3 linked regions of the Neurospora crassa OR74A genome follow. The protein of the gene in region 3 purifies or fractionates together with the protein of the main gene of each other region. This does not show direct contact. Links are inferred from orthologs where the notes say so. Each region holds a gene or a part of one and is shown on either strand. Other genes may lie near its edges.

Evidence for each region.
Region 1: the proteins of NCU03782 (region 3) and NCU03047 purify together in Saccharomyces cerevisiae (affinity purification with mass spectrometry; 6 studies listed by BioGRID, with this or other methods). This does not show direct contact. The link is inferred for Neurospora crassa OR74A from reciprocal best matches to the Saccharomyces cerevisiae genes RPB11 and TFG2.
Region 2: the proteins of NCU03782 (region 3) and NCU03838 purify together in Saccharomyces cerevisiae (affinity purification with mass spectrometry; 3 studies listed by BioGRID). This does not show direct contact. The link is inferred for Neurospora crassa OR74A from reciprocal best matches to the Saccharomyces cerevisiae genes RPB11 and SPT4.

Annotation. Positions count from the first base shown.
Region 1 is NC_026501.1:8,296,859-8,307,243, reverse strand, and holds NCU03047 (hypothetical protein), read right to left. Parts: upstream 6,459-10,385; 5' UTR 6,326-6,458; coding exon 6,098-6,325; intron 6,030-6,097; coding exon 5,765-6,029; intron 5,707-5,764; coding exon 5,522-5,706; intron 5,466-5,521; coding exon 5,106-5,465; 3' UTR 4,751-5,105; downstream 1-4,750. Other genes in the region: NCU11241 (nuclease domain-containing protein), read right to left, coding at 476-1,060, 1,161-1,715; NCU16461 (hypothetical protein), read right to left, coding at 2,511-3,023; NCU11240 (hypothetical protein), read right to left, coding at 3,606-4,514; NCU03048 (CCCH zinc finger protein), read left to right, coding at 7,429-8,050, 8,108-8,216, 8,268-8,323, 8,424-8,962; NCU03049 (flavin-binding monooxygenase), read left to right, coding at 10,153-10,295, 10,383-10,385. UniProt on the Saccharomyces cerevisiae protein: TFIIF is a general transcription initiation factor that binds to RNA polymerase II.
Region 2 is NC_026505.1:2,567,703-2,577,773, reverse strand, and holds NCU03838 (transcription elongation factor spt-4), read right to left. Parts: upstream 4,559-10,071; 5' UTR 4,216-4,558; coding exon 4,135-4,215; intron 4,058-4,134; coding exon 3,807-4,057; intron 3,717-3,806; coding exon 3,686-3,716; 3' UTR 3,366-3,685; downstream 1-3,365. Other genes in the region: NCU03840 (hypothetical protein), read left to right, coding at 1-442; NCU03839 (APF1), read left to right, coding at 2,015-3,193; NCU03837 (Snf1 kinase complex beta-subunit Gal83), read left to right, coding at 5,214-6,037, 6,115-6,688, 6,757-6,804; NCU03836 (O-sialoglycoprotein endopeptidase, variant), read right to left, coding at 7,159-8,223; NCU03835 (hypothetical protein), read right to left, coding at 8,896-8,959, 9,043-9,134, 9,227-9,543, 9,759-9,810.
Region 3 is NC_026505.1:2,387,508-2,398,356, forward strand, and holds NCU03782 (DNA-directed RNA polymerase II subunit RPB11), read right to left. Parts: upstream 5,887-10,849; 5' UTR 5,503-5,886; coding exon 5,486-5,502; intron 4,627-5,485; coding exon 4,568-4,626; intron 4,445-4,567; coding exon 4,334-4,444; intron 4,193-4,333; coding exon 3,978-4,192; 3' UTR 3,539-3,977; downstream 1-3,538. Other genes in the region: NCU03780 (hypothetical protein), read right to left, coding at 762-982, 1,071-1,230; NCU03781 (CobW domain-containing protein), read left to right, coding at 2,257-3,417; NCU03783 (transmembrane domain transporter), read right to left, coding at 6,711-6,893, 6,966-9,101. UniProt on the Saccharomyces cerevisiae protein: DNA-dependent RNA polymerase catalyzes the transcription of DNA into RNA using the four ribonucleoside triphosphates as substrates. Component of RNA polymerase II which synthesizes mRNA precursors and many functional non-coding RNAs.

The sequences.
Region 1 (10,385 bases), on a different chromosome or scaffold from region 3:
ACGGGCATTCCCAGCGTCGATCATGCGTAAAAGGAACCGTTATGGTAGAAGGCTTTGCGTTCCTGACAAAGCGGACGGGATCGACAGACGTGCGTTGCATATGACTTATGCGAAACATTTGGGGTTCATCTGGCTTTTGTACCGCCTTATTGGCGCAGGAACCTTCCAAGTAACTGTGCGTTTCTAGAATAGGCTCGGGGAACGAAACGAGCTTGTATTGGCGCGGCAACAGTTGTATCCTTCATATCTTCTTGGAAAGGCTTTCCATATGTCACAAAGCCGAATGTACAAGGCCTGCTCAGTATAGACTCTACTCAGATTCAATGCGATTGTGTACGATAAGTCCAAACGATTGGAGACTCGGCGAACCAAGACAGCACTTCCGAGCAATGACTGTGTTTCTGTGCCAACTGACCTCTTCCTTGGATATATCATTTCATGGGTATTATCAGTCGTCGTCCGTTTCCTGCAACCATCATGGCATCTTTGCCACGGTACTATCTGCAGCCGTCGCTTTGGTCTTCTCCTTCTTCGCAGCCGCCGCCGTCTCCCTCTTCACGGCCGGCGCCTTCTTGGTAGCCGTTGTTGCTTTGGGCGCCGCAGTCTTCTTCCCCAGTATAGTGTTTCCCGCCGCTCTCATCCGGTCCTTATACTGTCTCGGACTCTCGATTTCCCTTCTCCTTCCCAGCCCGAAAAATCCCGTCAGGGTATTCGCCCACATCCCCTTCCCCTTCCTCCTCGCCGCCGCCTCAGCATTCTTATACACCTGTTCCATCTTAGGCCCGCCAAACTCCGCGCCCGTCTTGGCTTCGTACGTGGTCGCCAGCCCAAGTTTAAGCATTTCCAGCCCAACGTCCTTGCGCAGGAAGAAGGGCGGTTTCCGAACGAAGACGGTCGCAACGACCCGGTCGTACTGATCCTTGCGGTATATGCGTGCCCGCACGCGCTTGCCGAGAATGTAGTTTCGGAGCCACTGGAGGGCTTCGCTCGAGTAGGGTTGTGCGGGCCGGCCGAAGTGGGCGCCTTCTGGGGCGTCGATGCCAGCGATGCGGATTGGGATCTGGTAAAAGCGGCACTCGAGTCAACACTTTATCGCCGCTCATTCTTTCATTCACATATTACATTTCGTAGTGTTGAGGACTGCGCAAAGGCAAACTAACCGTTCGATCCTTCAATTCCTTCCTAACCATTGGCACCCTACGCAACCAGCCCCACCCCGCCAACCGCCCGCCGGGCGTGTGAAAGAAATGAAAGTTATCGCCGTCGCCTACGCTCGTCACCTTGCCCAGCAGCGTGCGCCGCCGAAAGAAGCCGGGCGAGATATATGCGGTGCCGCGAAAGCGGCGGAGAAACGAACGCCAGATGCCGAAGAGCGCGAAAGCTCCGATGGTCGGAAGGGTGTAGAGCACGATCGATCGCGGTTCTTGGTAGTGCTGCCAGTCGATAAGCGTCCAAAGCGAATCGTTCCAGGAAATGGCTCTCTTTTTTAGTTGGGGCGGGATGGGTGGTATGTCTGCCATATCTGCGGCAGGCGGCGGCGCACGCTCCGTTGGACGAGGCGAGTTGGAAAGGAAGTTCGAAGGCATGTTGTGGATGCCATGATTGCTGTGGTTGACGCTTGTTGTTGATGTTGTTGATGAATACTTGGTCGAAGAAGAGGGTGATGGAGTTCCCTCATCCTTCCCGGTAGGCGATGCCCACAGACCCCATGGCATCGTCAAGAGCTGGGGGAATGGGGAAAATGAGGAAAATGGGGAATCGTAGCGGTGATGTCGGTTGCGATGCGCGTTCCTGCGTTATGCGATACGACGAACCGGTTGGGGCAGGCAGGATTTAAGGGACTCAGTGCACGGTCCTCATTCCCCGATCCCCATATTGCTTGGCGTGGATTGGCTCTACCCGTGTACATAGTGTAGTAGGTCCAGCGCCCTTTTGACAGCAGCGCCAAGAGTGGCCGGTCTTCCAGCTGACTTGGACCCCCTTCCGTGATCCGTCGTTCTGTTCCCCAACCCAACCAACCACGGCACTTTTGTCGAAGCCAGGTGATCAATTTAGGAGGTCACGTCGCTCATGGTCAGTTCGTGATTTGTCTCATCCGAAAAGAGCGATTCGCTACATTGACTGAGCTCGTCTTCATGGCTGAGTGGCCGCGGTGTCTCTTGATCACTACTTAACGGCTGCTATTAGTGGCAGCTCCTTGACAGGACTCAAAGGCTGGGCTGGGTAATTTCAAGCTTACCTAGCACGTAAGGGACCGTGGTCTTTGACGATGACATGTTGAATTTGTAAGGAGCTGCTGCGAATTGGAATTTTCGCTTTTAGCTTCCTTTCCAATCGCTTTTTCGGTGGATTTGGAGATTTGAGAGGTTGAAGGCCGATGCTAATGCCGCCAACAAACTGTTCGTTTTTCTACGCGAATTGTTACTACCAGTCTGTTACAGGCTCACTCTCGTTATGAGGACCAGGAATAACCATGGTAAAGGGAACCTCATCCAAGATCATTTAGGACTTCACTCCGAACTAGAGGCATGCTCCCTCACCAACTCCATCATATTTCGGAAATGAGCTTGACTCACCTTGATCACTTCATTAGGATCGATAAGATCCATGGTTTCTGCCTCCTCGACATCACCGTCACCCCCACAGTCGTCGACAACTCCCACCTTCACGATACTTCCCCTGTTCATTGAGGCAGCAGACTCAACCCCCCCATCACTCCAGCCACGCTCTTGAACCCCAGAAGAAGCCTCCCGTAGGTCCTGGATCTTGGCTAGCAACTCTCTAGTCAACTGGATCCTCCCTCTGATTTCATCAATAGCTCTATCCGTTGTTGCTCTTTCGAGGGCGCAACTCTCGCAACACCTGTCAACTCGGTATGTTGAAAGCGGATGCGTCCACATGACATTGCAGCCTTCGTCGATCTTGCCTTGGTCGAAGTTGCGTTCTGACTGGCACTTCTTTGTTATGCCTAGCCAGGTGAAGTGGCCGCATTTGCGGTAGATGAGACGATGATGGATACACATATCTAGTAGGTGTTGTGTTGTTGTCTGATATTAGTTTGGACAAAGGGATGGCACGTAGTGAAGGATAAGTACTGGTATCAGAAACATGATGATGTTTGGCACACATGGTATTGGCGGTGGACATCGCTGCTTATAATGTTATTCATTCCGTGCTGATGGAATGAGAGTCTGGTTCAATGTTTCAGCACAAGACAAAAGCAAACCAACAGTATTGTTATCTGAGATCATGTTCTGAACATAGCAGAAAATCAGTTGTGACATGTTTGCGGACAAAGACTTTGTATTGTCAACACTAGTGGTGCCATTGATTGGTCAGAGAAATGAGGACAACGAAAATTAGAGACAAACACACATGTAATAAGTTCCAAGGTCTGCTTTTGATCAAACATCAAGATCCTATGGGCAAATCCTATCATTGACTTTCCTTGGCTTTGTGGTTCAAATACATTGGATGATAGACATGAAAGAAGTTCCGACTTGTCATTGGTACCGTAGTCTAAGAACCATGGACTAAGGGAGGGCATGAATACCTGTGGCTTTCATCGCATTCAACAGATATACACCCAATTATCAAGCTTGAAGTCAACCCATAATACTGTTTCCTAAAACCTCCTTGAAATCTCTTGCCCATGCCAACTTTATGCCTTCCCGACCCTCCGACACATGCGGCACCTCAAAGCCCAGCCTCTTTAGGGTCCCCAATAACGTGCTCTGCTCCTCCTCACCCTCATTTACCACAACGATCCCTGTATCCGCTCTCAACAAACACTCCAGATCCGTCACCGAGTCGCCAAAGTACACGCTTTTACGCTTTTTGCTCTCCCCGGCTGCCTCTTCCAGCAGCATCGTCTCAAACCCCTCAAGTTTATCCTTAGCAGTCATCATCACCTTCCCGCCCATTTCCTCCGGTCCTTCCAGCTGTCCGCCAGGCCACTTAATCTCGTTAACCCTCTTAACAAACTCACTCCGGTCCGGATCTTCAGGTTCTATCACCCCTTCAACGAACGACCTGGACCAGTTCACGCTCACTAGCCCCAATTTGTCTCCCCTCGCCTTAGCTTGTTGCACAAACTCCGAAAATCCCTTTCTCACCCTCACTGCTTTCCCTTCATCCCCGTCCCAGTCGGGATTCCATTCCTCGCCAATCCGTCGAGCCTGTCTCCCAAACTCTTCCCACTGCTCACTTGTCAACCTGGCAAAGAACCCTGTATTAACAACTCTCTCCGCACTAGACAGTTCAACGGTTTGCAAGCTCTCTAGGTACGCCAGCTCCTGCGCTAATAGTTTTCTATACTCGGCTTTGGGGACGTATAACTCTTTATGCTTTGCGTAGTCGGCGAGGTATAGGTCGACTATCCGTTTCCAGTTTTCGGAAGCACTTTGTTGAGAGTAGGCGCAACCGCGAGACGAGATGGCAAATTGAGCGAGCACGTTGATAGTGTCTTGCTGGGTAACGGTACCGTCGAAGTCAAAGACTATAAAGCGAGCCATTCTTTTGGTAAGGTTGCGGGTTATGCTTTGATGAGCGGGTTTCCAGAAAGGCATTGAACTTGAAAGGAGGTTGGCTCGGATCAGAATGAATGTGGCTTTATTTAGGGTTCAAGTTGTGCTATCCCGAAGGTGGGTGGAGGTAAGTAGGTAATGGAAACTCCAGGTGAATTGTAGCCAGGACAAGAAGGAAAGCACCAGTAGCCATAGCATTTCTTGGCCAGTAAGAATCGGGAATGATTGACATAGGGCCCCACTTCATTTATGGATAATGTTGTTGACCAAAGGATCGCCCAAAGAGTTGTACCAACGTCACGCATTGTGACTAACACTTGTAATGTAAGAGCCTTTGCATAACCAACGACTGCAACGCTTTGACGCAATTAAAGGAACAAATAACCCAAACTGGAAAACCGACTCTTGTTCATTGATGCAACGGGTATCATTGTATGAGCATGGTCTTGAAAGACCGCTCGTCTTGCGAGCAAAGGAAAAACGCAGCAAACCCAGTCTACTCTAAACGCCTGACGCAAAGTAAGTGAATGAGTCAGAAGGAAGATCGCATCCATCATGACAGCGCTCAGTCCTGTCATCTTAAAACAGGACGTCCTCCATCTTGATATCGTCGTCGTCCTCGTCCTCAGATGCGATTTCGGGTTTGGGAGCCGCTTCGTTGGTTGGTGCCGGCAGGTCCTTATCAGAAATCATACTTTGGTATTCCGGTTTGAGAGACCAGTGGTTTGCAAAAGTACCAGTTCGGTGAATAACGGCAATCTTGTCCAAGCACTCTCGAATGAACGCCTCGGGCTGAGGAATCCGAGAGCGCAGCGCCTTGATGGACCAGTACATGTAGACGGAGAAGCATTTGGCGAGCTCGTCGAGCAGCTGGTTCTCTGGCCAGCGAGCTGTCTTGTTGTCCATCTTCTTGGCCTTGCTCGGAGCCTCGGTCGTGCGCTATTGTTTGCTATTAGTGAAAGCTCTAGTGGTGATATGTCTTCAAGTACACGCACCAGAAATGTTTCCCAACCCTTGGGATCCGTGATACCATTGGGTGGCAGACGATCCAGGACCTGTACTGTATGTTTGGGAGCCGTCTGCTTCTGGCCTCGGGCAGCAAGCGCATAGTCTGTCTCGGGATTTTCCAAAGGAGTGGCGACAACCTCACGCTTGATTGTTGCTGCAATCGCCGTTTGTTCTGAACTCTTAAGTTAGCACCTATCAAGGCAGGCCAGTTGAGATTGGGTGTAACGAACTCGGGATGGCCTTCTTGGTGTACTGCTGTCCCTTCTTTCCGCGCTCCTGAGGTGGCTCCGACTGCTTCATCTGCTGGCGCACAAGGTGTGCAGGTATGCCCTGAGCTAGAGCCTCAGCCCGCTCCTTGTTCTTGGCGGCATAACTTGGGTGATCATGTTCACCAAAGATGAAGGTGTTGTTGACGTTGGCATCCACCATGTCGAGGTTGTATTCCTTGGGAATATCGTAGTGTTGTGGAAGATCGTCGAGGAGAATTTGTAGCTTCTGAAAGCCCAAACAGTCTCAGTAACCTATTGAAAACGTAGTGCTCGTCAGGGAGTGCTGCTACTGACCTCCGGTTGACCATCTTGCACAATTCGACGAACTTTGCCAATCTGAATCTCAGCATCATCGGGAAGCGAAGCCCATGCTTGCCAGACATACCCCGGAAGGCGAGCCAGATAAGCGTTTTTCAAGGGAAAATCATTAGGATCATAGAATCCCAAGTCGGCTGATTCGTCAAGCTCGTCTTCGGCGAAGGCTGCGTCCGGGTCAGGCTTAATTCTCATTGGATCGGCCATGATTGGAGTTGGTCGCTGTGACAAGACTAGCAAATATTAATATGTGCGTAAAATGGCCTTTCGTTCGCTGGTTGTCGGCGTCTTGTGGTAGCGTGGACGGAAAGTTGGGGCGTGATTGTCGTGGTCGTTGTTGTTGTAGAGAGGTTGCCTGGTTGAAAGCAGCCGCGAACGTCAACGTCAGGACAAAGACCGTTGAACCTTGGATACGTACCTGTATACTATTATGTAAGCCGCTACCTGATCCTAGCGCGACCCGCTCTCCCGCAAGCGGAGCGGCTAGTGGGGTCTCTGGTGGCAAGTACTTAGCTGTACCTAGGATCCTGCATACATCTTTCAGTTAAAGGTTGACTTCAGTCTGGTGAAGGCGCCTGTGGTTTTGGATTTCTCTGAGGGCAGTTCAAACTTGGAGTCTCATAGGTTGCAGTATGGCTGTCTACGGGAGCGTTCTTGTTTGTATCCGGCGTTATTTTTTTGGGCGTAAAGAAAGGAACAGAAGTGGAAGTAAGGTATGAAGAGTGCCTTGGGTCTTTTTGGAAACAAGCCGATGGTAGCTGATTAGGAGGAAATGTGAGCTCACCACGGGGCATTGAGGCTTGGTATCTTGCATAAACTGCTTTCCTCGACGTAGGTAGTGTCCATACTATCATATGTGCACAGCATAGCTTCCCAATGTTCAGGTCCTGCCTGGTTGGTCGTGCCCTGACTGGTTGACGCATTACTTACTTAACTCCATGGCCTTCTTTCTCTGATAGCGACCTTGGCCGTTTGTGATTGGCTGACCTCTGGCGCATCCCCCCTCAAAAGATCACTGGCAGTTCGCCGCCGTCCTTGAACATCCGAACCAAAATCCTTCTTGCACCCATCATCCTCTGTTTTGCGCGCCGCCACAATCATCCCAACAACAACGTTACCTTATCGCATCGAACAAACGGCACCAGCAACATCGCGACCTTTATCATATTTTCTTCAATCTAAATAACCGACAAAGACCGGTACTGCTTGATCGTGGAACGTGACCGCAATATACCGATACGCTTTTAATATTGAAATTGCAGCAACAGCTACTTGTATTGGCTCTTGGATTCGAACAAAAAGATAACAAGATGACAATGTCTGCCGAGGAACACGAGCTGATGGAGAGGATTGCCCGTGTGGCCGGTCAGATCAACCAGCACAAAAATCAACAAGCAGGCCTTGTTCCGCCGCAGAGCAGCCACGCACCACCGCATCACCGTACGTCCGTGGAGTATCATAACAGCAACCGTGCTGGTATTGACGGTCTTGAAGACTCAGGTTATTCTGGAAGCTGGCGTCATCAAAGAGGAGGCTACCCATACCCGACCCGCGCCCATTACACCAAGCCTGCCCACCGTCACAGGACCTTGGTGCTGAACGGCGCGTCTCAACAAGGTAAAGCAGGTCCGCCCAGTTCAGGCGCCGCGCTCGACTCGTCCCCGTCGTCCTGGGTAGCAAAGAACGACCGTCACCTTCAAATCATCAATTCGTCCATCTATCATAAGGAAGCGCAGGCTCGCACTCGGGCCATTGAGCAAACTCTGCGCCAGAAGCAACAGCAGAGAGATGATCTGGAACGAACCAAGTTGATCAACCATCTACACCGTGCTGGCGATCGGTCGGCAGCGGCACCAAACCAATATGAACTAACCGTGCAGGGTATACGTTTTGCCGTTACGAAGAACGGAAGCAAACTTGTCAAGATTCCCGGTGCGTCGAAACCGCGGCCAGAAGTGCTGGATGTGCCGAATACTCACCCTTTCACAGGCGATCTCAACTCAGGGCCGACCCCGAAAATGGCTATCGTAGGCGGTGTCAAGTTCTACCGCAGCAAGAACGGGAATTTGTACCGCCATGGTATTGTTAAAGCGCAGCGGTATGTGGCCCGGTCCCTTTTGAATCATCCGCTAATTCTAGTTTGCGATAGGCAATCCGGCGCTTTCAAGAAGGTCAACGTGCCTTGTCGCAATTTCTCCATGACCGGTAACTCCAACTTTTCAGATTTCGGAACCTTAACCGACACCACGTCGAAATGACTGGGTCTGGTAAGTCCAAACGATGTTTATACTGACATCCCCCGCAGGTTCATGCACCAAAGGCCCTCGGTGCCGATATATCCACGACCCAGCCAAGGTTGCCATTTGCAAGGACTTTCTCCAACAAGAAGAATGCATCAACGGTGACTCTTGCGATCTTTCGCACGAACTCTCCGCGGAACGCACCCCCACGTGCTTGCACTTCATTAAGGACAGTTGCACCAAACCTGACTGCAAATTCACTCACGCAAAGGTGTCTCCAGCTGCCTCGGTCTGCCGAGAATTTGGCCTCTACGGCTACTGCGAGAAGGGTGCAAGCTGCATCAACCGCCATGTTTTCGAATGTCCCGACTTCAGCAACACTGGCGTGTGTAATACCAAGGGCTGTAAACTGCCGCACCGGGAGAGGGCAAGCGTCTTGCGCAGGGTCAATGCCCGCGACGACGCGGAGATGGAGGATCTATCCAGCGACGACGATTCAGTCGATAGCGACGATATCGACTCGGACGACGTTGACGAGTTTGTTGGCCAGGACGACGATCCTGACTTGGATTTCGCCGAGCAAAAGGACTTCATCAAGTTTTGATTAGTGCAGTCCTGGCTCGTTTGTTTTGGTCCTTGGTTTTTCCTAAGCCTTGCTGGCTTATTGATACCCTTTGATGTTTCTGTTTTCTGTAGCGCAACCCGTTACACTTTCCGGGTTGGCAGTGGGTATAGGAGGATAATAAAAGTAAAAAAAGGAGGAAGAGAAAAGCAAAAGGAAAAAAAAGAGAGAAAAGAAGATGTCACTCTGAAGAACAGCCAAGACTAGGCAATTTATTATAGATATAGGAGTGCATGACCGCACTTGGTGCATGATTACAATGATTGGCCTGTGGTGAACGTCGACCTTGATGTGCTGCGGCAAGCTCCAAGCAGGTACCGCAAAATGTTATCCTGTTCATCCAATGGCTGCTGAGAGTTAGTCTGCCGAGAGCTCAATAGCCACACCATCACTGCCATTCCTTCTTCACTCGGGCCCGGAGTATCATAGATCAATCACCCCGCATTCGCAACCTTAACCCCATATGCTCTCCGCTAAATTATACTCGTATGAATTCACCGCTGCCTAACGAGAGTTTAGCGACGGGATGCCCTTCTCTTGGGCATCCGGATTTCTGTTTAGAAGTAACTCGCCGCTTACACTATCCAAAATCCATGTAATCACTCCTCTTATGACCCCTTAATGCCGTACACGTATATAGATCAGCACCTGCAGATGTCCCACATTCCATAATACTACTAGTCTCATGATCTTTCTATACCTAACTCCCACCTCCTCTCCCGCACTCCTGTGGATAGTCAGTAAGGGACTAAGGAGCACTGGGGTTTAGGCAACTAAAGCAGTTTTATATATATACTACGTTCTCGGATTCACAACTACAACCACTCAGATGGCGCGGATGTAATGAAACCCAGACCAAGACCCTTGCACAAAGCACTAGTCCATGACGCAGATCGAAGGCCTGCGGCCGCCGTGCGGTTCGGTTGAGCAAAGCCGTTACCGAACCGTCCTGAGTCCGACCAGGGGTATTTGATTGTGAGGGGTAGGAAGTGGTAAGTTTCGGCTCATGGTATGTTTGATGAAATGTATATATACAGAGAAAGAGAGAGGTTTGGAGGCAAATACCTTGGCTGCTGGTCTGTCTTCGACTATGAGGTTGACGATCTAATACCTACACCCTTTGACAAAACAAATACGTCGCAACAAGTATACGTCAAGAGATATCAGTGGAGATGGCTACAACTACGAACGGGCACATGGACGGAAGTGACCTCAAGAAAAAGTTTACACTTAAAGACACGGTAGTGGAAAATCTTAGACCGTTGAGGGTAGTTGTCATTGGCGCTGGGTATAGTGGTATCGGGGCAGCGATTAGGTGAGTTGCTTCCCTACCTCCCGCTTTAGGCTGATGAAATAGTTGTACCACCGGTTCAATACTGACAAACATGGGTGTGCTGTGAAGAAT
Region 2 (10,071 bases), about 180 kb from region 3:
CCCAGGTTTTGGTCCGCAATCACCAACAGCCTTCCTCATGAAGCCCGGGGACTACCTACCACTGGCCCAGCAATGCTTCAAGGAAGCTATCCAGCTCGCGGAACAGCACCTTTGGGGATCACATTCGCTACGGCTTTCGGTCAAGACAGAATACGCAGCCTTCCTATACGAATGCGTTCACGATGCCGAGGCTAGCCGAAGACTCGCAAAGGAAACCATCTCGGAGGTGTATGAGGCGACGGAAGGCATCGACAACGACATGTTTAACGATGCGTGTGAGCTCGTCACAGTCCTCGGGAAAATGATGAAGCGCGGTTTGGGGTCGAATAATACTCTACGAAGCAAGGGTCACGGAACATCGAATTCTGGCTCGCAGGGAACACCCAGGATCGAGCAAATAGAAGCCCAGGCACCAGTCACAGCTCCGCCAGGGATGATATGAGCGAGAGAACTCGGCATTGGTTACTTTCCACCCTGTCGGCAGCGCTCTGGAAGGAGGACCCAAGTCCAGATGTCAGAGAGAAAGCCGTTGAGGATGCTCATCACCACTGGAGCCAGGCACGATCAAGCACCGTGCCATCGCAGGGATATGCCAACAGACTGAACCTTCCAGAAACCTGGCTCAATGCGTCAGTCACCGAGCAGCACGAACAACTTCGAATCCCGGATGCCGATCTTGCATTATGACATCATCGCCTATATACTACTATGCAGTACGTATATCAGCCTTTTGTTGTTATCCATGCCGATTAATACGCTTTATTTGGACCCACGGCATTCTATATTACACGGGACATATAACCATCGTCCGAGAATCAGAAACCATGCCATTTTCAACATGAGAGTTTGAGCGCAACTTCTCTTCTATCTGGCGGTTTTTGGAGTTACAGAGCGATCGCCTTTGGTCTTCATACGACATCAATATGTCATTTCACTTACGGTACAATCATGTTCTGGTTTTTCTTGTATATACTCATTGCCTTCTTTTGTTTTTGTCAATTTGATACCCAAACGCGTCCGTTTCGACCGATGGTGTCTTTTTTTGTGGCTTTTTTGCGTTTGATGTCTTTTTGCTTTTGGGTGAATGCGGGAAATCTCGGTTTGATGGGGTGGCTGTTGTTTTTGGATACTCATCATATGTCAGCTGTAGTTTGCTGTCAACATAACTGTAACTGTGTAAATACTGCTGAAAGATCGTCGACAGTTGATGGATCCGTTACAAGAAATGAAGAAGCGTGGTCGTAAGAAGGTACGAATGTGCGAGGAAACTCAGTCATTGTAACCGAGAGAGTGAACGATAAGCATAGCACCAATTGATAACCAGAAATACCTTTGCATAAAGGTGAAAGTGGGGATCGCGATCCTGGTCAACCGGAGTGTCCGAGAGAAAACCAATAAAAAAAGAGGAAAAAAGAAAAAAGACGTCGTCGAAGAGTACAGAAAAGTGTAAACCTCGAGCAAGCCGGGCATATACTCTATCACAGCGCAGACCAAGTCCGTTGTATGGCAGACCTCTCCGTAAGCGGCCGAAACACAATTTCCGAGGCACAGTGTCATCCGTAGCATCAAAAATACCCCGTTGGGAATCAGATTCCTTTGTGTAAACAAAGCGAAAAGGGGTGATCCTCGACCAAATGGGAAGCATGTCTGGGTTAGGGTTGTTGGTTGATCGCTTCAAATGCTTGGCATTCGGCATGTAACATTTGTGTGGCGGCTGGCAATCGGGGCCTACACTCGAACCTTTACCCGTTGCAGAACATCAACTTTCCAACAACAACGCAAGGTGGTCGAAGAGCGAAACACCACGATTTTTGCTCCAAGTCATCCAACACTACTCACTCACCATCTCCGTCACATAGTTAATCTTGACCCAACGCAACTTCCAAACCGTCATCCGCCGCATCGTCCTGTACTGTACCGAGCGACACCCTCCGAAAACAAAACACATACAACCAATCACCTCCCCCACCCGCCCCGACTCGCGCGCAGCGGAGTCCGTAATTACCCATTCACGATGCCCAAAGCAGAAGTCGGCTCCGCCAAATATCTGGCCAACAAGATGAAATCCCGCGGCCTCAACCGGCTGCGCTGGTACTGCCAACTGTGCGAGAAATCCTGCCGCGACGAGAACGGGTACAAGATGCACTGCCAGTCGCCCTCGCACACGGCCAAAGCGCTCGAGGCGGGCGCCAACTTCAAGGGCGTGCAAGACACCTTTTCCGACCAGTTCCTCAAGGATTTCATCGCGCAGCTGAAGACCAGCCATGGCGAGAAGGAGATCCACATCAATAAATTTTACCAGGAGGTGATTGCGCGCAAGGACCACGTGCATCTCAACGCGACCAAGTGGCATTCCCTCACAGAGTTTGCAAAGTTTTTGGGCAGGGAAGGGTTGTGTAGGGTGGAGGAGAAGGAGGGGGAGGGGTTGTTTGTGGCGTGGATTGATGATTCTCCCGAGGCGATGGAGAGGAGGGAGAAGGTCAGGAGGAAGGAGATGATGGATAAGGGGGATGAGGAGAGGGAGCAAAGGGCTTTGAGGGAGCAAATTAAGAGAGCGCAAAAGGATGCCGAGGCGAGGGGGGTTAGCTTTGATGCGGAGGAGGAGGAGAGGAAGGAGTTGAAGAGGAGGGAGGGGGAGAAGATTAAGTTGAGTTTTGGAAAATCGGCCACAACAAAGAAAGAGGAGCCCGGGTCGGGGTCGGGTGAGGGTGAGAAGGGTTCGACATCGGCGGCGGCAATGCCAACACCGGGTGCTGGGGACGGATCGGTTCCTCCTGCTGCGGAGGAGAAGAAGGATACCGTGACGCCACCTTCGACAATAACGAAGACGACGACGGACGGTGTAAGCTCTGAGCAAGCAAAGGTGGAAGCAAGTTCAAAGGGCGAAGAGGCCACTGCCAAGACGACGGCAGAGGAAAGCAAACCCGCGGTTGACTCGACTGCTGGTCCTGCTGGTCCTGCTGCTGCCGCTGCTCCCGCCACGAAGCCGGTATCTATGAAGTTCGGCATGAAGCCCCAACCGAAGAACGTCTTCAAGAATGCGTTTGCTGGGGCTCCCAAGAAGGTTATGGCTGCTCCGCCCAAGAAGATGAGCGAGGCCGAGAGGATAATGAAGGAGGAGTTGGAGCGCAAGAGGGCTCGCGAGGAGAAGGGTGGGAACTTTCCCAACAAGAAGCCACGCTTCCAGTTTTAACATACTGTGGAGTCTCACGTGGGTAACTGGTCAAAGGTTATGCTATCTCCGGGTTTGGCAATATTTCGGTACATGTTATAGGGGCGTTTTCGGCGTGATGGGAAATGTTTAAAAAAAAGATACCATATTGCATTGGGGTTTTCGTAAAAGGGATCCGTAGCTGGATGAATAATCTTCCATATAGGTTAGGTAGTGATAAACTCATTTGTATGATTGTTGTATTTCGCTGCAGTGTGTAATTATAGCCCTGGGTTGATCATGCAAAACCCAAAAAATGGCCACTATCCTGCTGTCTAGACCACGCCCTTTAAACCAGCCTTAACGCCTTGAACTCCTGTTGCCTTCCCTTTAACAGGCATTCCGCATTCCGCTCCTGGGTTGTCTGTGAACGATCTATTATCGGTCCCTCTTCCTTCTTGCTTGTCGGTTCTCTTTCCTGCTTTCTTATCCGCCCTATTCCGTCTTGTTTTCTTGCACCGCAGCTTCGAGTTTCTAGTCCGCTTCCGTCGCACTGCCATCGCGCCTGCTCCAAGTTAGTTTCTGGCTGTGCCCCGAAAACCCCACGATCATAGCCTGCTTCGCCAGACCACACGAGTGTAAGCAGGAAACTTACGGGATATACTGAATGCCGTCATCCTCCAACGTGGTGCGCACGTCATCCGGCAACTGGCCCGACACCTTGGTCGCGTATACACCCTTCACATAACCGTCCAGCCTCTGCCACTTCGCCACCCACGACTTCTGCGGGTTGGCAATGGTGATGATTCCTTCAAAGACTTGCGACGTGCAGCTGTCGATCTGATCCGGCGAGCCCTGGAGATGGAGGAAGTCTTCGCAGTTGGGGCATCCTTCGTCACGGAAGCGCTATGACAAAAACAAAAAAGGTCAGAAACTTGTCGGTCATAGAGTGACTAGAAACGAGGAAGGGCAGCTCGACTTACAGCATAGGTCATGACGATAGAGCAGACCATGCAGGCACGAAGGTAGCGCTGCTGGCCGGGGGCAACGTAGTTCTCCGACATTTTTGGGAGATGTGTAGGGATGGCGATGTTACTGGTAACTTTGGGGGCGGAAACCGATAACTCACTCGTCTACGAATAGCTGAGCGAGTGAATGAATAACTGGAAAAGGACACTTGACGAAGGAGGGTGATGTTCTTTAGAGGAATGCATGTGAACATCGATAAGTTGTTCTCTGGAAAGAAGATCGGCCGCCTCTCTTGCCTGCCGCGTCGCGCCAGCGCAAGCTCCAGGTCTCACAGCGGGCCAGGAGTTGACATGCAAGGGGCGCACGGTCCAGGAGCTAGAGAAGCAGGAGAGAATGTGGGAAAGGTGGGGGCCGAAGTGGAAGCTGGGGCCGATGCCTGGAGGTGGACAGTGGAGACACTGCCGTGCAGTTGGGCTGGGCGCCGTCTCACACTCATCCACAGTTCAACTCTGTTCGCCGAGTCCGGGGCGTTGCATCCGAGTTCCATTCAGTTGCCAGTGGTCGCCCGCTTCTTATCGAGCAACCAGGTGGATGGCAGCTGTGCTTTTTGGCCCAAGGGAGGACAGTCAACTGCTGCAGTGATACTCTGATAACTGAACTGAGCTCTCTACCTACCCGTCATTCTCTCGACTTCCACTTCTTCCACTTGTTTCGCGCATCCTCGATTCGACACGACTCGAATCATCACATCTTCCAGTTTGCTGCGATATTGCCTGCTCCAACTCTATTACGACACGACACCTGACAACGTCGTTCGAATTCCCAAAAACCACACAACCACAGCCACGACCAGCGCTGGCGTAGCATGCAAAGCCCCTCGACTGTCAAACCACCTTCTATCCGAACTCGGCCAATTACCCCGGAGAGTGGAAGATGAATTGATTGCACCCGGTGGACGCATTGTTGAACAGGTGTAGCAGTAACAGCAGCAGACCGCGGTAGCAGCGAACCACCTGTGACGACCCCGTTCGACCGACCCGACCACCACGGCGACCCCATCCCGTCATCAGCGCCAGCGATCGAGCTAGGGAAAATGGGGAACAACCCCTCCACCTCCAGAGACTCCAAGACCCCGAATCCGCAATCCTCCTCCTCCTCCTCTCAATCGCAGTCTCAGCACCAGTCGCTGGCTTCCATCCAAAATGACTCTGCCAGAGCAGTGAAGCGCGATACCAAGCACCCTATACCGGTCCCAAATCAGCGAGTCGCTGCCCCTCCTGAGCCCTCCTTGACCCAGGCCCAGGGCACCGCCGTCCAGCCGCCCTCAACCACCGCTCGTCCCAAGTCGCTGCACTCGCGAATGCCACCTTCTCAGAGCGGCTCGCCGGGCTCGTCGGTGCCTACCAGCTCTGCCACCCCCACCAAACCTGTCGAAGTAAGACAGCTGAGACCCGAAGACAGTCATGAGCCCGCGAAACCTGTAGCCGTGCCCACACCCTGCCACGCCTCGTCGTGCTCACCTAGGTCGCCGGTGCGATCACCGCTATCAGAGAGATCGGATGCCTTTGAGACTGCGGCTATGCAGCTGAGCAGTCTGCAAGATGTCTCGTACCTGACCAGGCCGCCGCGACTACCTCTGCCGATCGAGGAAGAGGTCCACACACCCGGATCGCCTATCATTGCCCCGACCGACATTGGGGTCCCACTCGAGGATGCCGACACTTTCACCGCGCTCACCAGACGCTCTTCCAACTTGAGTAACAGCTCAACTCTGGACGAAGAAGACACGGAGGAGCTACGGGTGGACAAGACTAGACCGACTGTCCCCACCAGGCTCGAATGGCTCCGTGGCGGCGAGAAGGTTTACGTGACAGGCACCATCTTCCAATGGAACAGGAAGACACGATTACACCCGGTGTAAGTACTTTCTACATCCCGGCCACTTTCGCTCTCAATACGGATGGGGCCTTGCTGACACCGCTACTCGCCAACAGTGAGGGCCGACCGGGTGTATTCGCTGCTATTATCAATATCCTGCCGGGCACACATCACGTTCGCTTTCTGGTTGACGGGCAAATGCAGACCTCGCCAGACTTGCCGACCACGGTAGACTTTGGCAACAACCTGGTCAACTACATCGAGGTCAGCCCTGATGATGTGGGGCGCACCGCTGCCCAGGCAGCTGCTGCAAGCGCCGCCAAGGATTCCCAGCAACCTACGGAGCCCAAAACCTCCGCGTCCGAGACGGAGGAAAGCAAGGCACCTAGGGACCGACCTGTCCCTCCGGCGGAGCTGTTCGAGAACAAGATCCCGCAATATCTACTCGACTTCGACGCACCCGAGGAAAGTCCACCTTACCTGAGTGCTGTCAACGCCATCGAGAAACTCCCAACGCCGCCTGCGCTTCCTGGCTTCCTCGGCAAGCCCATCCTCAACGCGGCCACCTTGATCAAGGATGACAACAGCGTTCTGAACATGCCCAACCATACCGTTCTTAACCATCTAGCTACTAGCAGTATTAAGAATAATATTCTGGCTGTGTCGGCCACGACGAGATACAAGAACAAGGTTCGTCTCCCCGTATTTCGTAGCTGCATCTTTTTGCACGTAGTCGTTGATGCTAACGGACTGTACAGTATGTGACGACAATCATGTACAAGCCAACAACGACAGAGGGCATCTGAGTTTGGAATGCTAGTAGTCAGAGCTGGGTACAGTTGGCTGGTGGCTACCACTACTAGACGAACAGCGCAAGTCATGAGTAGAATAGCGGTGCATGATGAACCGCCCAGTATGACCTATTCTAGATATGTCTACAAGTAATGTCTATAGGACGCTGTAGCGATGACGAGGACACTTTATGGAAGCGGGCGCAAATTGTTGTCGGCAAACTGTCCATGGGCATCCTGCTCCATTAAGGGGGCACTAAGGGACAACAAGAGGCGCATATAGAGTGGCTGCCGTGGATAGAGTAAAGGTTATGGGATTTGGGGGTATCGTCGTAATGGTCATCTTCGTCTTCGTTTCCTTCCTTGTCATTAGTCCCTCCACTTGACGAAGACTTCGTCGGTTCTGAAGCGTTGTGTACATGTGCTTTCATCAAGCGGCGTCCGGAAGCCCGTCTCGTAGGCCAATAGACCAGCATGAGCAATCATGATGCCGTTGTCGATGCAGAACCGCTCGTCGGTGGCGTAGACACTTCCGCCTCGCTCCGCTGCCATCGCGCCCATCATCTCCTGTAGCCGCTCGTTGCAACCGACACCGCCAACAATAAGAACCTGGTTGCTACCGACGTGCGCCATAGCCCGCTCGGTGATCTCGACAAGCATGGCAAATACCGTTTCCTGCAAGCTGAAGCACAGATCTGCGGGTGTAAACGGTTCGCCGTCGGGGCCCGGCTCGCCCGCCTTCATCTGCGCCGCCAAGTCATCTGCCCGCCCCAGGATTCCGCTGAACGAGCAATCCATTCCCTTGACCGCATACGGCAAGTCCAACAAGACTCGCCCACCTTGCTTGGCCAGCTGCTCAATATTGTACCCGGGCGCCGGGTCGTTGCTGATCTCCAGCGTGCGCGCGAACCGGTCCAGGCAATTACCCACTGCAATATCCAGCGTCTCGCCAAAGATACGGTACCGCTGCTCCGCGTACGCAATCACCTGCGTATTACCCCCGCTCACGTACAGCACCACCGGGTTCGACGCCCCCGTTATCGCCCGCCCCATCTCGATATGCCCGACACAGTGGTTCACGCCCACCAATTCTTTACCCCACAGCAGCGCGAGTGTGCGGGCGCCCACGGCCACCGACGTTAGGGGCCCGCCCATCCCGGGCCCCTTGGTGTAGCAGATGCAGTCGATTTCCGAGATGGAGACCCCCGACAAGGCGAGCGCCTTCTTGGCTACACGCACAAAGTAGGCACGGTGGTGTCGGGCTGTGTCCTTGGGAAGGAAACCGGTGCCGGGAGGAGAGACGAAGGTGTCGCGCACGTTGGACAGGACAAGGGCTTCGCCGGTGATGGGGTCGTGCGCAATGATGCCGATGCCGAGCTTGTTGGCGGAGCCTTCGCATCCGAGAGCGATGCGGCGGCCTTTGGCGTCGGGCATTGTTGGCTGTTGGGGCTTTGTTGGATAGAGCGAGGGAGGGAGAGGGTTTCGGTTACTTGGTGAATCGGGAGCCGGTTGCTTCGTATCAGATAACTCGCAAGGATATTTCGTTGGGGATGTTTATCGAGGACCTTGATATCCTTTGGTTGTTGATAGGCGTCGCGTCGCGTACTGAATAGGATGGATGGATGGATGTTGTCAGTGCCACATCCAATGCCAGATGTCAGATGGAGAAAGTGATAATGGAGGGGCACCTTTTTAGAGTGGGGAAAATTTCGTCGCGTCTGTGAATACCTAGGCTAGGCGCGCCGTAGTGATCAAGGTGACGAAACTCGAGATCGAGATGAAAGAGGATGTACATACTTATTCCCCCAGCGGGCCGGTATCCCGTCTCCTAAAACCGGTCGACATGTTCACTACTTGTAACGATGCTTTAAAGCCATTCTCGCCCGTTGTTCTTCTCAAAACAAGGGAACGGCCTCGCCATGGGAATCAGCAATGGGATTTCGTCAGAGCCTTCCATGGAGTCGATGAGGGGTTCAATGAAATGTGGGTCCCCGCAGCCGCTTGTGCACAGTCGAGTGGGACCTTTATGTTGCTTTGGATGCGCAATGCAATGTTATGTAAGGCAGGCACGTAGCGTGGCTCGTGCGCTAGTAGTAGCAACGATTTCTATCCACATATAGCCGCAACGGCGCAAACTGTGACCATGGATGCATGAGTTGTGTAAAAGACACTAGAAGTTTGATTATTTCTAGCTTTTTCGCCATGAGCTGATCCAACAGTTCCATTGCAACAAATATGTGCAGATGAGCTTACGTGATTTGACTTGCTCTGTGGAAGTGCAAAAAGGCTCCGAGCAGTTCGGGGTCTGCCGAGCCTGGGCTTGGGGCTCTCTGCACGGGACCCCACTGCACCGAGAATCAATTCTCCCAGCCAAGCGAGAGTCCGCAGCCGTCCAACCATCTTCCATCCTCCGAGCCTGTATCACCCAACACCTCACCTCGTTGCCGCCAAACCCAAACCTCCCAACCGCACGGCCAGACCTGCCTCTTTCAACAGCCCAGCCGACTTCTTCCTTGTCTTCACCATCCTTTGCCTGCCATTTCTTCGGCAGAACATGGCCGGGCTGCTTCTTGTTCGGTTCTTGCAAGCTTTCGAGCTCACGGGGCCGTCTGGGCCGGATTGGAGGCCGTGAATTCAGCACCGCCCCAAGTCTATGGGGATGGAGATACCCATATTCCCTCTTGAGGTGTGTTTTCCTCGTTCGTCTGACTTCAGAATGCTGCTTTGGCCATCTTTTTGTCTCGCACAACCCGTCTGATGTGGGCTTGATATGTCCGGTACCGTTGTGGGTGAACCTAGGCTGACCAGAACTCTGCACCACAGGACCACCCACCACCCATGGAAAGCTGTTCACTCGACACCTCCATTCTGTCTTCCACCTTCTTTGGACATCGCTTCTTCTTCCGCCTTTCCAAGTCTTTGGGAAATGCTGTTGTGGGCTGCTGGCTTCATGGTTCAAAATCACGAACCTCGCCACCAAGTCAGCAAAGCTGGCCTCCAGTCAGCCAGCCAGCCAACCATTGCTGCTCGGTGATCCCACTCTAGAGCGCCCTCGAACTCTCCTGCTCGAGTTTTCACCAACGTCAAAATCGCGGATTACCAGATCGGAATGTCCCTTTTTGCAAGGCATCTTCGGTTCCGGAAAACCGGCGATCAGCAGTTCTGCCAGAAGCCAGGGTCCTGCACCAAAAGGAGCAGCGGTCTCGACTCCGAAGCCTGGCAACGGAAGACTCGACGTCCAAGCCAGCATCGATATCGTAACGACCGGTCAATTTCTCTCTG
Region 3 (10,849 bases):
GTTGTGAGATATTGGATGGATTGGTTTGGTGGGTTGGAGTGTAAGGTTGGTAAGATTCTCGTCTATGTATCGTAAAATATGTCCGGTAAGATGAAGACGTGAATGTTTATCAAAATTGGATAAAGTGGTGGTTCTCAGTTATATAAGCTGTCGAGCAGACGCTTCGGATATCTATTGATAAAGCAGATGATTCGAAAACGATGACGAAGTGGATGGGAGTCCGGGATGTTCTAAGTTCTGTTGAGCTTCAACAAGTTTGTTAACCGGTGGATGATCGACAGTCAGTGGATCAGAGGCAAACTTGGAAGTCAGAGAGAGTGATGTTTGGATAGGATTCAGAAGGAAAAGAGATGGAGGAGGGAGGATACCGGAAGACCCCTGTGTAGTGTTGAGGGGGACGAGACAGGCAAGGACGTGATGCTAGTATGAAAGCGGGGGGCGGGGTTGACGCTTCCCGCTTCCCGGGGTCTCAGAGTCGACTCGGGACCTGTCATTCAGTCCTCATGCGGGCCGCCTTGATGTTACATAAGGAGAAGAGATCGACGATGTTGTTGTCACTTTAAGTCGGAATAGAGAATGCCATGCTGATTACTAAGATTGTTGAAGGTGTTATTTCAGAGAATTTCAAGAGTTAAAAGAGACGATTGTAGAGATAGGTAGTTTGAACATGTGATGGTCATTGTTGAAAGCGCACTTCGCCAAGTATCTTTCGAACCCCCTCCCGCTTGCTAATTACTTATCACTCCTCAGCCCCTAACCCTTCAATTACCCTTTGTCTCCTCATCATCACCCAAAATCTCCTTGCTCCGATGCTGATCCCTAATGAACTCTTGAATCTGTTCATCGTGATGAGGACGGTGCGGTGGTACAGCGCTGAGGTCTTCTTCCTTGGGCTTCATCTCTTCTTGCTGCTGCTGCTGCTGCTGCTGCTTCTTTCCTAGTCCAATCGTTTCGCTAACTGATGCTGGAACGTATTCCGAGACTATTTGTTTTTGTAGCACAAGTAGGGATAGGTAAGCTTGGGATGTTACAAACGAATATTAGAAATCGAAGACTGGGTTGTTACATACTCTTGTCAACGATCCCGCTTCCTCCGCTTTGTTGGGGTTGTTGTTGCTCCTCTGGACCCTTTCTTTTCTGCTCGGCAATTTGATCAAGCTGGGGCTTGTAGTCTGAGGGATCTTGTCCCTCGGCCCCGGGTTGGCTGACGGTGTTGGGGTTTGTTGACATGGTGATGGTGCCGTGGAAGATGGATTGGTGGTGATGGAAGAGAAGAGAGAGCTATGGTACTAGCTTTCGATTATTGACAACTCAGGCAAGACGAGAAAAAGTGTTTGAGAAGGGTCTAAACACAAGAGCACAACTTCAGACGGGCAGTTTCATGGCTTCGATTGAGACATGAAGCAGGTGTAAGTGGTCACTATTTAGGTGGGGATGACGTCACGAAATCCATTCGTTGTACAAAGACAAATGTGCGCTTTGCTTCCGTCGTCTGAACTTTCATAACTACATTGTTTTCTGTTCATGCAGAGAAGATCCAGATACTTCAATTCATAGCAATGAAGATACATATCTTGTCCGACGAACACCATGGCACGTTCCAGTCATCGTCGACCTCAATTCACCATCGAGGAGGAGGAGGATGTCCTTATCGCCCTTATCGCCCGATCTTATCGGACCGGCTAGAAGCCCAGAACAGCCCACTGAGCCCACGAGCCCCCGCCACCTTGTCGTGCCCCTCCAAGCGGCGGCAAGACCCGACGCCAGAGGGCGACCATGATGCTGGAAACTCCAGGAACCATATGATTTTGTTATGTCTCTCTTCATATTGTTGTAAAGTTTTTATATATTAAATAGAGTCGCTTTTCTCAATCCTCTTGAACAATACATACTGTCGGTACTTTTATAAACCCTTCTTGACCAAGTTGGACGTCCCCGAAGTCGGATCGGAATCGAAAAGCTATTCTCCAGAGACCAGGGCAGCTTGGCGATCTTTCCCTTCTCTCTTTTACAATTCTGCAATCCTGGATTGCCCGAAATTTGCGACAGTCTTGACCTCCTACATACCTCAATTACAGGTCGCCTACTCTCAATTATCTTCCCGACATTCGATCGATCGACCTACCCCGAACTTTTCATCGCGACTTAGACCCTAGACGTAGTGTAGTCGCAGACTCGATCCTATACTTACGAAACCTACCCCTCCAACACAATCACGCAACAACCAACCAGCCAACCCACGAACAAACCACCACAATGACGCGCGACCAATCATCCCCTATCCCCATAACCATCATAACCGGCTTCCTCGGCTCCGGCAAAACCACTCTCATTCTGAACCTCCTCCCCCAGCTCCGCGCCGCCAATCCCTCCTACCGCCTCGCCCTCCTCAAGAACGAATTCGGCGATCTGGCCGTCGACTCCCAGCTCGCCTCCTCCTCGGCCATCGCCGGCGTCTCCGAGCTTTTGAACGGTTGCATCTGCTGCAACCTCGTCGGTCAACTCTCGGTCGCCCTTTCCGAGCTCCAGTCCACCGTTCGGCCGGACCGAATCGTCATTGAGACCTCGGGCTCTGCGTTCCCTGCTACGCTGGCGCTCGAGGTCAACCGGCTGGCGAGGGAGACGGGGGGCCAGTATGTGCTGGATGGCGTGGTGAGCGTGATTGATGTGGAGAATTGGAAGGGGTATGAGGATACTAGCTATACGGCGCGGATTCAGGCGCGGTATACGGATCTGATTGTGTTTAACAAGTGGGAAGGGGCGGGGGAGAGGAGGTTTGACGAGGTTTTGGATAGGGTGGGAGATTTGGAGGTGGACACAGCGTGGGTGAAGAGTGATAAGGGGTGGGTGGATATGTCGGTGGTGTTTGGGATTGATGGGGGGTTGGCGAGGGGTCTTACGGAAGAGGATGGGCATGTTCACGATGACAAGTGTGGACATGACGATAAGCATAAGCATGATCATCAGACGGAGGTGGAGGTGTTGAGTATTGAGCTTAAGAGCGGCAACAGAGAAGCGACGGTGGATGCGACGAAGCTGTTGGCTTTCTTGAGGAAAACGAACAAGGACGAGGTGTACAGGATCAAAGCCGTGTTGGCGGTTTCTGCGAAAACTGCGCGGGAGGTGCTGAAGAATTCGGATGAGGATACCAAGGTTCCAGTACCACCTACGTCCGCGGGAAGCGAAGCTCAAACGACGAGGTATATCCTCAACTGGGCGTTTGGAAGGTGGACGTTTACACCTGTTGCGGCTGAAGTCAAGGAGCACGAATCCAGCAGTGAGGCGATACTGAGGATGACCATGATTCTGGCCAGGTATGAGAGCACCAAGTGGAAGAAGAGACTGGAGGCTGGTGGGTTGTTGGAGCTTGAAGAGGAGAATGGGAAGGGCGAGTTGAGCGTTACCAAGGTCAACTAGAGAGCGGCACGTTTGATAGACGAGGAGCTATGGATTATGTATGAACGAACAATAAGACTTCGGGATAGAATAGAGCGCACCTGATGGGAGCAAATAGAAGCAGACGTCCCAAAGACATATTGACAAACTTCTTAAAAATTCAACATCCACTCCTCGCATACTCTCACCACAAGACACCTTGAACAAATCTATGGTTCCCATTCTGCCCTAGCATTGAGCGAGTAAACGGAGAGATCTGTCAAAACCCCTTATTTTCCATATCCCATGCATGTCTTGATCATTAACGCCTGCAAAGAGACTGACTGAAAAGCATCCTCAAAGAAAATCCCTAAACGCCGTTTTTGAATGACGACCGATCCGATCAACAAAACAGCAAAGATAATGAGCTAATCATGTTTTCACCGTCCATGCCACCATCGCATCTCTTTTCCCACCCCCCCAATTCAGCATCGGACGACCTTCGTAAACTTTCCTCCGGCAGTCAAGTAAAGTAAAGTAAAGGCGTGTCGGGAGTAGAGTAAACACCGCGAACAACCCCGTTAAGGCGGGCATCGATTCGATCAGTAATGACCGCCATTAGCGCCGCCGTTCACGCCGCCTCCCTGCTCGCCCTGGTCAGCATACTGGCGCAGGGCAAGCTCCTTCTGGAACTCGCGGCCCAATTGGCCGTACATGGCCACGAGCTGCTTGCACGCGCCAACGAGAGCCTCGCGCGGGGTGATGCTTCCGTCTGTCTGGATACGGATGAAGAGTTCCGGCACGTTAGGGTGGGCAACTAATAATTACGTGTCAGTCAGTTTCTGTTTATCTCGCCATGGGTGGTGGTGGTGGTGGTGGTGAGGGTTTGTGTGGGGAGGGGGGGTAAAGAGAAGAAAAGTAAAAGTGAAGTAAGACGCGGCGGTACGACGTGACGTACTCTTGTATCCTGCCATCAAGACATGAGGGGCCTGCTTCAGATGTTCGGCGAGGAGGTTGCCGAGGGTGTGGTCCTCCTTGAGAATCTTGAAGTCGGAGGTGTTCGACATGCCTATCCAAGTAATGGAAAAAAAAATCGGGGTCAGTTTTCTTGCCATTTCCTTCTTCTACTATTTCTTCTTCTCCCCACGTATCACCTCATTATCAAGAAGATGAGGAGATCGACTCGACTCACCAGTGAAAACCTTCTCCTCAATCTTCTTCTCTCCATCCTGGAGAAGGAAGAGCTCGAACCTGGTTGTTTTTGGAAGCAAATGTCAGTAATGTTTTCCTACTACCCAAAAGTGAGGTAATGATGAGAGTATAAACGGAAAGAAGAAGGCGGACCGGTTCGGCTCGCTGTTTTGCTTGGGATTGGCTCCGCTCATCTTGTTGATCTTGGTCCTGTTCGCTGTTGCCAGGTGACGAGGAGGGCATGGAATCAATATCCTTCTTGTCGTGATGGACTGTGTGCTAGTCCAAAGGGATGTTGGTTTGACGAAGGGTTTAAGTGGTGTATGAGGAGGAAGTCGTCCGCCTTTTATATCGTTGACAGCCAGCGACTCTCCATCCAGATTGAGTTTGGTCAAGGTGAATCCGTGGTAGACAAGTTACCCACCAACTCCCAGATCGCTAGTCTCCCAGCTGCCTCGCCTGCCTGTTGCCTTCCATTTGCGTCCATGGTCCATGATCAGATGAAAGCCGTCCCGTTTGTTTCGCGTTCAAAACAATAGGCACCTGGCACCAGCAACCAGACAAACACCGCCTACCGGAGGGGAAGATTGAACCAAGCTCGTAGACCATGAAGGATAGACACGTAAGGCTAAGAACTGGGGCGGACTATTCGAGTGTCTGCCTGTCCGTCCAGGTCGATTTGTTCCATTGTCGTACTGAGATGAGTTGACATTGCGGTTCCAGTCGACACCGGCATGTGACATAATGACTTTTGACATAGTCGTTATGATTCCTTGTCGAACGCCCTCAAGAGATTTAAGGCAACCCAGGTCGAGTGTTTCCGGCATTTGCGTGAGGCGCGTCGTCCAGGGCAGAAGGAAGAGGGGGGTTGGTTTCTCCATGTGGAAAGAAACCAGCAAGAAGAGAAGATTCTACTAACCTATCAGGGGCGTTCATTTTGGCGATTGGCTAACGATATGACGTAGAGCTCGTTGTTGGTTATCGGTGGTGTATAAACGATTGTCGTCGTCGCCCGATATCGTGAATTTGCGATATGGTGTTGAGGTTGAGACCGGGGGGTGACGATGTCAACTGCTCAAGAACGTCGAGTGGTTGATGTAGCAATTGTGTAGATTCGCTCTTATGGCGGGACCGGGGGAACGTAGGAATTTCGATACCCAAAATTGGAGCGTGAATGGGACAGACTACCAAAGGTTTCAGTCGCTCAGGTTTTGATACTGCTCGTCAGCTGGTGAAGGTTTTGATCTTGGTGAAGGGGGTGGGATGTTTTAACACAAGTGAACGCACTTGATCGATGTCTTCGAGGTCGTCCAGGTTGCGCATCCACTGTGAGATGGGGGCAACGCAGTTGGAGCACTGAACTCCGGATCAAGGTACGTGTGGTCTGTGCGCTCAGTTATTTCAGCGCCATCCCGCTTTTGGATGACTCGGTCCGCTGGGCTGTATACATACATGCTTGCAAGGGAGGGTTAGGGTTCAACAAAGAAAGAAAGCAGTGAGCTTGCTTGTTGGCGAAGCAGACGACGGCGACACACTGTGGGGAAGGAACTCTTTCCAACCATGAAATGAGGATGGTAGTATGCAAAGAGTAAACCGATATATGGAAGGTCATCGTAGCTACCACACTGTTCGCTCGAACACTGTTTGCAATGGGAGAGAAAGGCCGCCCCTCAAAGAGTCAGAGATTGTAGAGACTGCTAGGGAGAATAAACCCAGTAATGACACGTCAAAACAACAGTAAAATGACATCGACACCATAGACGTACAATGGGGAAAATGCCAGACTAATCAATTTATTCAAAAGTCAAACTATTCTCGCTCCATCGTTATGGTAACGAGCTTCTTCAAACAAACAGGGAAACGCTTCCCTCACGATGCAATACAAACTCTAGACATGCTTCTCGGCAACAGATTGCTCACTCCCATCAAGTCTACAGTGTAGTCCATCCCACAATCATCTAGTCATAACCCATATGTCTTGCTCTCATCATGTCGACCCCTATCCCATGATTTCCTTTCATTCTATACAACCATAATCATATCGTCGGATCCATTGTTCTTGATAAACCCCAACGCTCGTCCCATATAATCAAGAGGATACTCATGACTCATTCCGTGATCAATACGTACACGTTTGCACGCCTTTACGGGTTCAATCCCTTAGCATCGCAATAGCCAGGCGATTCTCCGCCCTCTCCAGCGCCGGCCCAGCTCATGACAGTCAAGGTAGTCGTGTACGCCATGGCAATGAAGCCAAAGACGCACAGGGCAACATCCGAGAATTTCCAGAGAGCGCTTCTGGCGACGCCCCTGTAGTGCAGCATCGGCTGTTTGTGACTGTGTTAGCGTCTGATTGATCATCTACACAAGAAGGAGCAAGGGTACGTAGCAAAACTCACCGGATAGATATACACCAACGGGATGCAAGCAAAGTTACCGACCAGTGCGACGAACTTGTCCAAGTTATCGGCACCCGCCCATGCAACCATGGCGCAGAAAGCGACGACAAAGAAGCGGAACACGTTCTTCTGCCACTTGATATACGGATTGTACTTTCCGCTCTTCGTGAAGAGTGCATTCTCCGTGATCCTGATGGCGGGGAAGATCTGCAGTGGGGTCGAAAGCAGGATGGCGAGCGAGTAGAGGAACTGCACGCCGTTGACCATTTTGTTGTCCTGGGGCAAGTTGAGGAGCACGACTGTCTCGGTCTTGGAGCCGTAGGCGGCATAGGAGACGGCGCCCATAACGGTGAACAAAGTGGTGATGATGATCATGACGACGGCCATCACCTTGGGGAACTTCTCCGGGTTTCTCATGGACTCCTGGATCGGGATGATGAGGCCGATGCCCTCAAAGGTAAAAATGGCGGTGCCGATGAAAAGGGTCCAGTCCTTCTGGTTGAACATGATGATGTCGGCCAGGCCCGAGGTGTTGAGAGTCAGGACGTCGTAGTAGAAGAGGTAGGCCAGACCGATGACGATGAAGGCGTCAGCAATAAGCGCAGTGAATCCCAATTTGCCAATATCACGCAGCAGCGAGAACGGCAGGAAGATGATCATTTGCATGATAATCAGCCATGATATAGAGATGTAGGTCTTGCAATTGGTGACGGCAAGGATGAATGCTTGCAAGTTCTCCGACGTGAAGACGATGTAAGCCGCCACGAAACCCAGTTGACTGATGACGATGGAGAAGAGAATCAGGTTTCGCATCCACTTGCCATAGAGAATACCACCAATGTCACCAAAGGATCCTTCCACCTTGAGGCGAGTGGAGACGAGGAGAACAAAGCAGTAGTAGCTCAGAGCCGCCACGAAGAGGAGCACGGCGTTACTAAAGACCATGCCGCCGTTGAGGTAGGCTCTGGGGAGGAAGAGAACACCTGTACCGACGAAGGACTTGAGGAGAAGCATTGCCGCGCTCATGGGACTATTTCGGCCACTCCCACCACGCTCCTTCCTTCTCCTCTTACGTCGAGACGGCGTTAACAGTGTGCTGTCCTCCATGGGCTCGTGATCATCAACAGAGCCCTCGTCACTCCACCACTCGCCCTCGTCGCTTCCGGAGGTGAAGTATTCGCCTGGCTGGAGCACTTCATCGTCTTCCTCGAGTTCCTCACCGGCGAAATGTCCGTACAAAGAAAGGAATTCGAGGAAGCTAGTCGTCAGTAACCTCGGCGGTGGCGCACCCTGGCCCGCACCGTTTTCGGAGTCGTCAGGATGAGCCGAGGGGTCTCTCGCGTTTCTCCGCAGGTAATTGCGCCGGAAGCCACCAGGGACTTTGATTGAGTTGATATCCAGAACCTCATTTTCTGGCTCGGGCCTGGGGTAGCTGAAACTGTGGCTGCGCTTGGCCTTGTTGCGCTGTTCTATCTCCTCCGCCCATCTGTATATAGGGCGCGTGATGTCACCACCCTGTAACTGCAAACTCGAGAACTCATCGTCGTCTTCGGCAGGCTGCTTGCCCTTGGATCTCTCGCCTGTCTCCTCCCCAGCGCTATCCCCAGGTTGGACCAAGTGTCTCTTGATGATCTCAGGATCTTCGTATGCTCCGAAACCGTTGATACCGGTGGACGGTAACCTTGATCTTGTCTCGAAGGAGCCGTAGTTCGTGGTGGGCGTCGCGGATCTTTGGAGCTGGGCAGCCGAAGGGGCAGGGGAGAGGGCGCGCGCAGGAGGAGTGCCAAAGCGAGGTGGCGAGGCTCCGTAGGTGTTGGACAAGGCAGCGGCTAGAGCAGAAACACCGGGGCCAGCAGACTGTGACCCGGCGCCGGGAAGTGGTGGCAAGGCGCCAGCATCACCTCGCTCTATCGGAATAGGTGTTGGAGTGCCAGACGGCTGTTGTTGTGGTAGTACGGGCGTGGCGAGGCGCGCGATGCTATCAGCGCGTGGTATCGACGTGCCGAGCTCACGGGCGCGAAACGAGCTGGGACGGAAGGAGCCGGGGCGAAAAGAACCGCCGGGCGAAGAAGGGCGGACGGGGATATTACCCGGGACCGGTGAGTTCCTTCCCGAGTCTTTGCCCGCATTCGACATGGCCGTTAAGCAGTAGAGGTGGTGCCTGTGGTGATGATGTAATGGTAGCCCAGACCTCTTTCTAGAGCACAATCGGCGTGGAGATACTGGAGCGCAGTTCAGTCCGTGGTGTCGGAGGTAAGGTCAAGGCCAAGGTCAGAGACTGGAGAGAGAGATAAAGATGGTGACCGTCCGTGTTTCAGATACGGCTCTCTGTTTTCTAGCGGTGGATGGAAGGATGCCTGAGCGAAGGACTGTTCGATGATGGCACGCAACGAAGACTTTGTAACAAGTTCTTATTGCTAGAAGTGGGAGACTAGGTAGTTCTAGGTAGGTCGATCTTGGGGTTGTCGACGCGTGTCCGAAACACTGCCGCAGCACTCTCAGTCGCTCCGTCTGCTCCGTTTACTTCAGCGCCAACTTCCTATCTGGGACTTTGAGGGGCGATATTGATAAGGCCCGAGTCAAGTAAACGAAGGAGAGTAAGCAGCGTGTTGCGGTGGGTAGTAACAATATGTACTTCCGTCCGAGATATGTATCGGGATATTGTAACGATTCTCGTATCAAAGATGGAGATGTTTCTCTCTTTTACCCTTTTGACGTTGGTATCGTCGAGCGACTTTTGTCAAGATGCAGCAATCAAGAGACGGGTCCGTGTGACCTGCGCTGGCCGACAGCACAAGGGCATTGGAGTCTTTGATTGGAGTACATCATCGGCGAAGTGGCACTTGGGCCAACTGAGATAAGGAGCCGCCATAAATCTGGTGAGCGCTGTACGAATGAGAACGTGTCCTGGCGATAGGAGAACAGGGCACGTAGAGAAAGCGTGACCAGCGTGACCATCGTCAAGAGACGACAAGAGATCGTGGGTGCCTCGTTACGCTGCAAACGCCTCGTCGGGTGGGCCTCTTAACCTAGAGGTAACAGCATCGGGCCCTGCTGACACTGCGCCAGGCACTGCGACGGGCAGGCGCCTGGGCGATCCTTGCTGTGCAGGCTTGCTAGGGAGATCCACTCTTGAGACCCGACCCTGACCCAGATGCTCTGACGGGAATGTCTGTTTAAGCAGACGGGAGGTCACCGTCCACCAAAGAGATCATCACTTCCGGTCTCTCACCAAAAGCGTGGACAACGATACACACATGTGTAATCACGATCACGCTTCACAATTCAGGGCTGAATGCCTCACGCTTTGGTTACCATGTCGGTACTCGGTATTGTCATACCTACTGTAGTTGTCTACACGCAGCACCGGACAGCATGACATGAAGGAGGATCATTCAGCTCATGTTATCCGCTAACATGGACCCCGCCGATATCCTCGTTGAATCCAGTCATGCGCCGATACATGCCATGGCGCGAGACCCAAAACAAATCTGAGCGATACCCTCGGTTTTTGTAGCTGGAACAGAGATAGAGACGACGAGTATCTGTTACAGGCCTATATTGAGATGTCAGGACGGTACAACCCGTTATCTTCGATATAGTAACACCAGGGAAACACAAAAGGTATCATCATCATCATCATCACCACCACAATGGCCCTCGGCCTCCAGACTCTGGCGCTGATGCAACTCCACCGCCCCCATAACAGCGCCTAACAATGCCCTATTCTAGGTAGGCCCTTGCTGGCGATCCTGATTCCCTGCCCGGTCCCATTGGAGCGGGCCGGTAAAGGCGGGGGAGAGGGTCGGCAACAGCACCCTCCGCTTCCGCAGCCGGGACAGGTCTGACAACAACCGTGGAGGCCGATGGAGGAAGACGGCTTC